2 linked regions of the Oryctolagus cuniculus genome follow. The protein of the gene in region 1 interacts with the protein of each later gene in a pairwise test. Links are inferred from orthologs where the notes say so. Each region holds a gene or a part of one and is shown in the gene's direction. Other genes may lie near its edges.

Region 1 (4,239 bases):
CTGGGATTGCAGGTTCCACCTCGGAGCCCCCAGCTGGCGCCGGCCACCTCCTCGCAGGGGTGGGGCGGGCTCGGGCGGGCCCGCTGGCACCCACATGATGAGAATAAAGAGTCCAGTACTTGGCACGCCGCGTCCTGTGTCCCTGTGTCCTGGGGTCGGGGTCTGGGATGGGGCTGGGTTAGGGGTCAGAGGGAGGAGGGGCTGGGGCCTGGGCTCTGTGAGTCCGAGGGAGGAGGGCTGGGGCCTGGGCTCTGTGAGTCCGAGGGAGGAGGGCTGGGGCCTGGGCTCTTTGTGAGTCTGAGGGAGGAGAGATGGGCCTGGGCTCTGTGAGTCTGAGGGAGGCGGGTTGGGGCCTGGGCTCTGTGAGTCTGAGGGAGGAGGGTCTGGGGCCTGGGCTCTGTGAGTCTGAGGGAGGAGAGATGGGCCTGGGCTCTGTGAGTCTGAGGGAGGCGGGTTGGGGCCTGGGCTCTGTGAGTCTGAGGGAGGAGGGTCTGGGGCCTGGGCTCTGTGAGTCTGAGGGAGGAGGATCTGGGGCCTGGGCTCTGTGAGTCTGAGGGAGGAGGGCTGGGGCCTGGGCTCTGTGAGTCTGAGGGAGGAGGGATGGGCCTGGGCTCTGTGAGTCTGAGGGAGGAGGGCTGGGGCCTGGGCTCTTTGTGAGTCTGAGGGAGGAGGGATGGGACTGGGCTCTCTTGAGTCTGAGGGAGGAGGGCTGGGCCTGGGCTCTGTGAGTCTGAGGGAGGAGGGATGGGCCTGGGCTCTGTGAGTCTGAGGGAGGGGGGCTGGGGCCTGGGCTCTGTGAGTCTGAGGGAGGAGGGTCTGGGGCCTGGGCTCTGTGAGTCTGAGGGAGGAGGGCTGGGGCCTGGGCTCTGTGAGTCTGAGGGAGGAGGGTCTGGGGCCTGGGCTCTGTGAGTCTGAGGGAGGAGGATCTGGGGCCTGGGCTCTGTGAGTCTGAGGGAGGAGGGCTGGGGCCTGGGCTCTGTGAGTCTGAGGGAGGGGGTCTGGGGCCTGGGATCTGTGAGTCTGAGGGAGGAGGGCTGGGGCCTGGGCTCTTTGTGAGTCTGAGGGAGGAGGGCTGGGCCTGGGCTCTGTGAGTCTGAGGGAGGAGGGTTGGGGCCTGGGTGAGATGGAGGTCTGGGGGGCCGAGCAGAGGGGTCCAGTTTCTGTCCCTGGGTGGCGCTGGCCCTGCTGCACACGGCCCGCCTGCCCCTCGTGTGCGCTCACGCGCCCCGTTATCTGCCCCAGCGGAGGAGGGGCGGGGAGGTATATTTAGTCGGCCCTCGCCCTTCAGCTCAGTGTCCTTGGTGAGCCCTGTGCAGCCCGGAGGAGCCCCTACGGCCAGGGGGCTCCAAGGTCACCCGGACGCCCACTCCTGAGTCAGCATGGCAGACGAGTGCGTGAGGCTGGGCCACCGGACCCCCGAGGTCTCGAGGGCGTGGGGGGTGGGGGCGTGTGCCTGGGCTCTCCAGGGGGAACCCGGGACCTGGGACGGAGTCAGGGGTGGGACCCCGGGCTGGGAAGTGTGAGAGTGTGGGGATCCCTCCTGGGACGTGACCTCCGGGCCAGGGAGGCCTCTGGGGTCCCCCAGGAGCTGGAGCGGCACAGGCCCCACCCTGATCCCGCCTCTGTTCTTCCCCTGCAGGAGCCGGGATGCGGTGAGCGCCCCGGGTAGAGGCTGGGTGGAGACCCCGAGGCTGGGCGGGGACCCCTGAGACTCTGAGTGGGGACCCCCAGGCTCTAGGTGGGCGGGTGGGCAGGGGGCAGGGCCAGGGTCTTGGTGATGATGGGCCCCTCCACGCCAGGCAGGGGAAGCGCGCCCCGCGCCAGCCCCGGTGCGACGCCGCTCCTCCGCCAACTACCGCGCCTACGCCACGGAGCCGCACGCCAAGGTGGGCGGGCTGCGGGGCCTCGCGGGACCCAGGAGGGACCACGGAGGGAAGGGCAGAGCCAAGGCCTAGGATGAGGAAGATGTGGTCGTGGGTGGGGCCGAGGAGGTGGTGGGCGGGGCTTGGGAGAAGCCGGGCTCGGATTGGTGGGAACGGCCTGTGGGCGGAGCCAGGGCCTAGGATAAGAGGGAACATGGTCGTGGGCGGGGCCGAGGAGCTGGTGGGCGGGGCTTGGGAGGAGCCGGGCTCGGATTGGTGGGAGCAGCCTGTAGGCGGAGCTCCGTTGCCCATGACGTTGCTTAGGAGGTGGGTAGGCGGTGCCTAGCCAGAGTCTGAGCCCAGATTGGTGGGCGGGGACGAGGGGCGTGGCTTCCTCTGGACGCGGGCTTCAAGTTGGAGGCGGGCGCACATCTGGACGGGCCTGAAGGGATGGTGACGCCCCTCGGAGGGTCTCAGTCCTCCATCCAACCGTGTCACTCCGGCAGAAAAAGTCTAAGATCTCGGCCTCAAGGAAACTGCAGCTGAAGGTGAGGGTCGACCGGGGGTGGGGGTGGGGGGCAGGCTAACCAGGGGGCGGGGCTTGCATAAATTAGGGCTGGGCTTGGGTAGGTGGGGCGGGGCCTTGGACGTGTCCTTGCGGAGAGGGCGGGGCCTAGGGTTAAAGGGGTACCCGCTCATCCTGAGACCCCGGGGTGGGCTGCCGCCCGCCCACCCCTGCAGACCCTGATGCTGCAGAGTGCCAGGGCGCTGTCTTTATCCCGAGACGCCGCCCCGCCCACGTCTGCAGACCCTGATGCTGCAGATCGCCAAGCAGGAGCTGGAGCGGGAGGCGGAGGAGCGACGCGGAGAGAAGGGGCGCGCTCTGAGCACCCGGTGCCAGCCCTTGGAGCTGGCGGGGCTGGGCTTCGCCGAGCTGCAGGTACCCGCGCCCACCTTCCGTTCAGGACCGGGGGTCCAGTGTCGTAGCCTGTCCCCTCAGGGAAGCAGAATCTGGCCTGCAACCACGCACAGCCACAAAGCCCAGGGCCGGCTCCCCGCAGCCCAAGCCCGTCAGTCTCCGGCTCCCATACAACCTCTGCGTGCCTGTCCCTGGAGCCGCAGCTCCAGCGTCGCCCCCTTCAAGGCCACTTCCGGCCCCTCCTCCCTCAGACCAGGATTTCAAGGGTCCTCTGGCCTGCCCCCCACAACACACTCGGAATTCCTCCGCCAGGACTTGTGCAGACAGCTCCACGCCCGCGTGGACAAGGTGGACGAAGAGAGATACGACGTAGAGGCAAAGGTTACCAAGAACATCACCGAGGTGCGGGCGCCTGGGGCTGTGGTCTCAGCCCTCAGTCGCAGACCCCAGGGGACGGGGACAAGTCCATGAGCCTGGCAGGGTGGCAGCGGGATACGGGCAGGGAAGGCCGTTCCAGGCAGGATCGGCATATGCGAAGCTGGGGAGGGATGTGAGTGGGGGGTGGGGCATAAGGAAGTGAGCTCAGGTGGAGCTGAGCAGGTGGTCTTGCGAACGAGGCTGGGTTGCAGGAGAGGGGTTCAGTTTCCCAGGGTTGGAAGCTTGGTCTGGGAGCTGGAGCTGGGGAGAGGCTGGGTGAGGCCGAGATGCTGGAAGGGGGCGCCGCAGGAGGGAGGGGTCCCCACTTCCAGTGTGGCCGCCCCCAGATTGCAGACCTGACCCAGAAGATCTTTGACCTGCGGGGCAAGTTTAAGCGACCCACCCTGCGGAGGGTGCGGATCTCTGCAGACGCCATGATGCAGGCGCTGCTGGGGACCCGGGCTAAGGAGACCTTGGACCTGCGGGCCCACCTGAAGCAGGTGAAGAAGGAGGACACGGAGAAGGTGAGCGCGGGCCAGGGCCAGGGAAGGGGTACCGAGGTGAGGGGCCGCTGCGGCAGCAGCCCCAGGGTCTGGCCCCTGGGCAGATGCTTCCTGGAGCTGAGGGGACAGGCAGCTGGTGAGGGGTCCTCAGCAGGAAGTATGGGAGGGCCGCAGGAAGTGCAAGAGAAAGACAGGAAGTAGGAAGGAGGACAGGAAGTGCATTGGCAAGAGTAGGTAGGGAGGACAGGAAGTGCATGAGGGAGAGAGAAGGATGCTGGGAGGAGACAAAGGAAGGGGGACAGGAAGTGCATGACAGACAGGAAGTGATGAGGAGACAGGAAGTGATGGGGGAGACACACAGGAAGTGCATGAGGGGACACAGACAGGAAGTGCATGAGGGGGACAGGAAGTGCATGACAGACAGGAAGTGATGAGGAGACAGGAAGTGATGGGGGAGACACGCAGGAAGTGCATGAGGGGACAGACAGGAAGTGCATGAGGGGGACAGGAAGTGCATGACAGAGACAGGAAGTACATG
Region 2 (4,450 bases), on another chromosome or scaffold:
CCCTGCAGGAAGTTTTGTCAAGGCCAAGAGCAGCAACAGCCAAGCGGACAGATGAAGAGAGGGAAAAATGAGAGCTTCTGGCAGGAAAAACAAAAACAAAAACAAAAAAAACCAGCATGGCCAGGGCTGCTGGTTTATCAAGGATGGTGTTTGGGGCAGTGTTTGAGCACTTAAGGGTGGGGAGGGGGGACGAGTTGTGATTAGAGGGGCGGATAGGAGCTTCCACGCTAAGGAGTCTGCACTTTGTCTATTTCCCTGAAGAAATGGAGGAACAAATTATGAACAAGTGATTGCTGTTCGACTCTCTGTTCTAAGAGGACCAAGTGCTTCCCGTGTGTCCCGACTGGGATCCCCTGGCTATCACCCCTCGGCCCTCTGCCTGGCTGGGGGAAGCCTTATTTAGCCCGGCCTGGCGCTGCTGAGCTTTCCTTGGGAATGTCTATGTGTAGGGGGAGGGGCGGCCCAGTTGCCACTGTCCATCTGCCCTCCTTGGTGTCCAGCCCCCATTGCCTGGCTCCCACACCGCCCTCGGTTGTCCTAGTGCTTTCTGGTGATTTCTGGTCACATGGCCATATGACCGTGAGCCTTGTCTGCTCCCCAGCACCCAGCCTAGGCTCTGGCCTCTCAGAGTGGGTGGGCTTGCCTTGGACTTCACCTGCCGGGGACCAGACTTCACTGCCCCTTTGCCTTCTGCCTAACCCACTGCCCAAGTCAGCGGATCACAGACACCCTTTTCCTGGGGCGGGGACTCTGAGAGAGCACTCTGCTTTGGATGCCTCCTCCTCCTCCGAGGGCTCCTCTATTCCTCTGGACGGTTCTCCTGGGTGGGCTCCCCCAAGTCGGGATTAACAGGAATCATCAACAGGACTACGGCTTTTATGATTCACAAAAATTAGCCCCAGTGAAATGGGGATAATAATAGCTGCTACCTCATAGGACGCACACCAGGCGAGATCCTGTGGTTGAAATGTCTGGCCCAGTGTGGCCCATCCTGGAGGTTCAACCAGTGGTGCCTAAGTACCGCTTTCCCCTCCTGAGCCCTGCCCCTCACTGTAGTTCGGAGACAGGACATTGTACTTGCCAAGCACCCACCCTGTGGGTCTGGCACAAGCTAGATGACTTAGAGACCTGAGCATCCTTCTGCCATGGTCTGACTGCCATGTCACCAATGAGGATACTGGGCTCAGAGCGGCTGCTTTACCCGCCCAAGGTCACACACCTTGCCGAGGCAGGGACCTGGACCTTGGGACTTCAAGGCTTGTGCTGTTCCCGTTCTACCATGCTGCGTCACTTGTCACTGTTCCGATCCTCCTCCTCCATCTTGGAGCCAGTGTGCTTCCTGGGGTGGGGGGTGGGGCTCTAAGGCGGCGGAGCAGGGTGGGGCCTCCTCCCAAGAATCTGGGACGTCAAGGCTTGCCACCTGCTCAGGGGCTTAAATTTCTCTGCAAGGGCCCTTGGCTAAATTAGGTAATGGGCTAGGACTCTGGGAGGGGTGGGGCTTGCTGACCCCAGGATCTGATTGGGCAGGGTATCCATTCCTGGGGAGCAGGGGGGTGGGAGGACAGGATGCCCCTACAAATCCCGGGGGCTGGAGTGGGCCACTGCGTCTGTGCGTGGTGGAGTTCAGGGGAGGCGGCTCACGGCAGGGGTGGCCCAGTGACCAGCAACCATGGTAAGGACATGAAGGGACTCTGCTCTGCTGGCTGGGGGCACTTCTAGACCTCTTTCAAGCAGATCTGGGTGTTCTGTGGGGTGGGAACTTAGATGCTTGATGGGGGGCGAGAAGGTTGTGGAACACAGGTGTTCAGAGGAAGCCTGGGAAGTCCTTTGACTTCTCTTGGTTGGGGAGGGCTGGATGTCCCAGGGATTGGTCCTGCGGCCACTGTGCTGCCCACTGCGGAGGCTTCCAGCAGTGCTAGGCACAGAGCTCCGGGAGGTCTTATCCCATCTCCTTTATGGTGGTGACAGACCCCCAGGGGCTGCAGTGAGTTCCCCAGGGAGCCAGTGGTGGGGGGTGGGGGATGGGCTGGAAGCCTGGCCAAACCCTCCTGCTGTCAGTGAGAGAAGAAAGCCAGCTCCTAGGAAGATGGGAGGCCCACAGGGCCCCACGCCAACTCCAAGAGCCCTGAGGATGACGGAAGGGGCAGGAGACAGCAGTCGGAGGGACCCCCACCTCCCCGGGAGGGGTTTTGATTTGGGACTGAGGTTCCCCCTCCAGAGATCACTTCAAGGAGTAACTGGACCCCAGAGGCCAGCTGCTGCTGCCCATGCCCTGCTAAAAATAGCCTGCCCTCCTGGCACAGGCGGAGAGGAGGGCAAGAAAGAGGGGGAGAAACAGGAGGCCCAGGGCCAGGGCCCAGAACTGCTTGTCCATCTCACCCCTGCCTCACTGCCAGCCCCAGACTAGAGCCCCCAACCCGGATGGCCTGGCCCGGATGGGTCGTGGACGGCTCATTTTCACGCCACCCTCCGCCTAGCCTGAGGGCCGTGCACTCCAATGCCTGCTTGGCACCTCCACGCATGTGCCCCTGTCAGCCGGGGGTCCCCGTGTCTGGGCTGTGGCCTGACACTTAGCTAGTGCTCAGTACTCTGGGTTGCGTCATTACTGCACCCTGGAGCGGTGCAGGTACCTTGCAAAGCCCCTTTCCCGCCTCCGATTTCATCTCAGCCCCGAAAAGCCACTGAGAGGAGACCAGGGCGTGACCTGCGGCTTCCCCAAAGTCCCCAGGGGGCAGGGTGTGTGTTGGGGGGCTGGGTTGTGCCTGACTTGGCCCTACAAGTATTGCCGAATGAGGACCTCTGACCTAATCTGGGTCTCCGCTCTTGTCAGGTGCCGTGGGGACACACAGGTGGGACAGGTTTCCTGACGGAGGAGGGCGCTACACAGGGCGGGGTCGAGGTGGGACTGGGTGAGCAGGGTGGTCCTCCTGTGCTCTGACCCTGTGTCTCCTGCAGACGGACCAGCAGGCTGAGGCCCGGTCCTACCTCAGCGAGGAGATGATCGCTGGTGAGTGCAGGGTGGGGTGAGGGTGTGTGTGCAAGGGGGCGTGTGGGAGGGTGACATGTGCCAGGGCACATGTGTGGGGTCTGGGCAGCAGTGGGGGTGGGTGTGAGCCTGGCAGGCCAGCCCACCTCACCTCAGCTCTCCCCTCCACCCCCCTGCAGAGTTCAAGGCCGCCTTCGACATGTTTGATGCTGATGGCGGTGGTGACATCAGCGTCAAGGAGTTGGGCACAGTCATGAGGATGCTGGGCCAGACACCCACCAAAGAGGAGCTGGACGCCATCATCGAGGAGGTGGATGAGGATGGTGAGCGGGCAGCCCCGCCCAGGTCAGGGCCGCGGGGGCGCGAGGTGGGCCCGGGGCGGCGCTCAGTGCCTGCCCTGCGCCCGCAGGCAGCGGCACCATCGACTTCGAGGAGTTCTTGGTCATGATGGTGCGCCAGATGAAAGAGGACGCCAAGGGCAAGAGCGAGGAGGAGCTGGCCGAGTGCTTCCGCATCTTCGACAGGTGCGCGGGGTGGGGGAGCGCGGGGCGCGCGGGGCGGGGGGGCTCTCCCACGGGCACAGCACGGGAATGCCTGGGGGGTGCGGGTGCGCGAGGGGCGCGTGCAGCGACGCCCGGGCAGCTGCTGAGCCCTGTCCCGGCCCTCGGCCCCGAAGGAACGCAGACGGCTACATCGACGCCGAGGAGCTGGCTGAGATTTTCAGGGCCTCTGGGGAGCACGTGACGGACGAGGAGATCGAATCCCTGATGAAGGACGGGGACAAGAACAACGACGGCCGCATTGACTTCGACGGTGAGCGCCCGGCAGTCGCGGGCCGGCGTCGGGGGCGTGGCAGGCCTCGGCCCCGCGGGTGGGGCTGGGCGTGGACCGAGCGGAGCCGCCCCCAGCCCCCGCGGGCGGGCGGGTGGGCAGTGCTGGCGCTGAGCCTCGCCCTTGCTTTCCTGCAGAGTTCCTGAAGATGATGGAGGGCGTGCAGTAAGGCTGGGGTCTCAGCCTCGGCCCCGCCGGCTCGTTCCCTGCCCCGCGCAGGGGGCGCGGCCCCTTCTGGCTCCGTGTCTGGAAGGAATAAAAGCAAACGTTGCCAAGCTCATGGCCTGAGTGAGGGGCGGGCCGGGGCTGCGGGGAGCGGGATGCGGCGGGGGCCACGGGGGGCTTCGGGCCGAGGGAGAGGGGGTGGAGCCCCCTGCCTGCCCCATCGCCCATGCGTTCCCGAGCCTCTGAGCGTGGGTGTCAGGCTCGCCGTCGTGGGCCGGCTCCCGGGCCGGGAGCGGGGCGACGGCAGCGTTTTCTGCGAGCCCGCTCGGTCTGGTCCGTTCTTCCAGCGCTTGCGGGGCACCCGGCGCTGGCAGCGGAGAGGGGGCAGCAGCTCCTCCCCGGGGGGCCCCCGCCACGGGCCGACCGCCGACCGCGAGAACCAGCTCCCGGGAACCTGACCGGGCCGCG

Evidence for each region.
Region 2: the proteins of TNNI3 (region 1) and TNNC2 interact in binary tests that used the Homo sapiens proteins (3 or more experiments, as listed by UniProt). The two-hybrid records come from large-scale screens. The link is inferred for Oryctolagus cuniculus from reciprocal best matches to the Homo sapiens genes TNNI3 and TNNC2.

What each region holds. Positions count from the first base shown.
Region 1 is NC_091449.1:3,701,047-3,705,285, forward strand, and holds the start of TNNI3 (troponin I, cardiac muscle), read left to right. Parts: upstream 1-1,281; 5' UTR 1,282-1,379; coding exon 1,380-1,421; intron 1,422-1,799; coding exon 1,800-1,886; intron 1,887-2,368; coding exon 2,369-2,410; intron 2,411-2,670; coding exon 2,671-2,802; intron 2,803-3,093; coding exon 3,094-3,183; intron 3,184-3,545; coding exon 3,546-3,722; intron 3,723-4,239. UniProt on the Homo sapiens protein: Troponin I is the inhibitory subunit of troponin, the thin filament regulatory complex which confers calcium-sensitivity to striated muscle actomyosin ATPase activity.
Region 2 is NC_091442.1:13,567,078-13,571,527, forward strand, and holds TNNC2 (troponin C, skeletal muscle), read left to right. Parts: upstream 1-1,614; 5' UTR 1,615-1,669; coding exon 1,670-1,672; intron 1,673-2,955; coding exon 2,956-3,007; intron 3,008-3,165; coding exon 3,166-3,309; intron 3,310-3,395; coding exon 3,396-3,510; intron 3,511-3,662; coding exon 3,663-3,799; intron 3,800-3,954; coding exon 3,955-3,986; 3' UTR 3,987-4,090; downstream 4,091-4,450. UniProt on the Homo sapiens protein: Troponin is the central regulatory protein of striated muscle contraction. Tn consists of three components: Tn-I which is the inhibitor of actomyosin ATPase, Tn-T which contains the binding site for tropomyosin and Tn-C.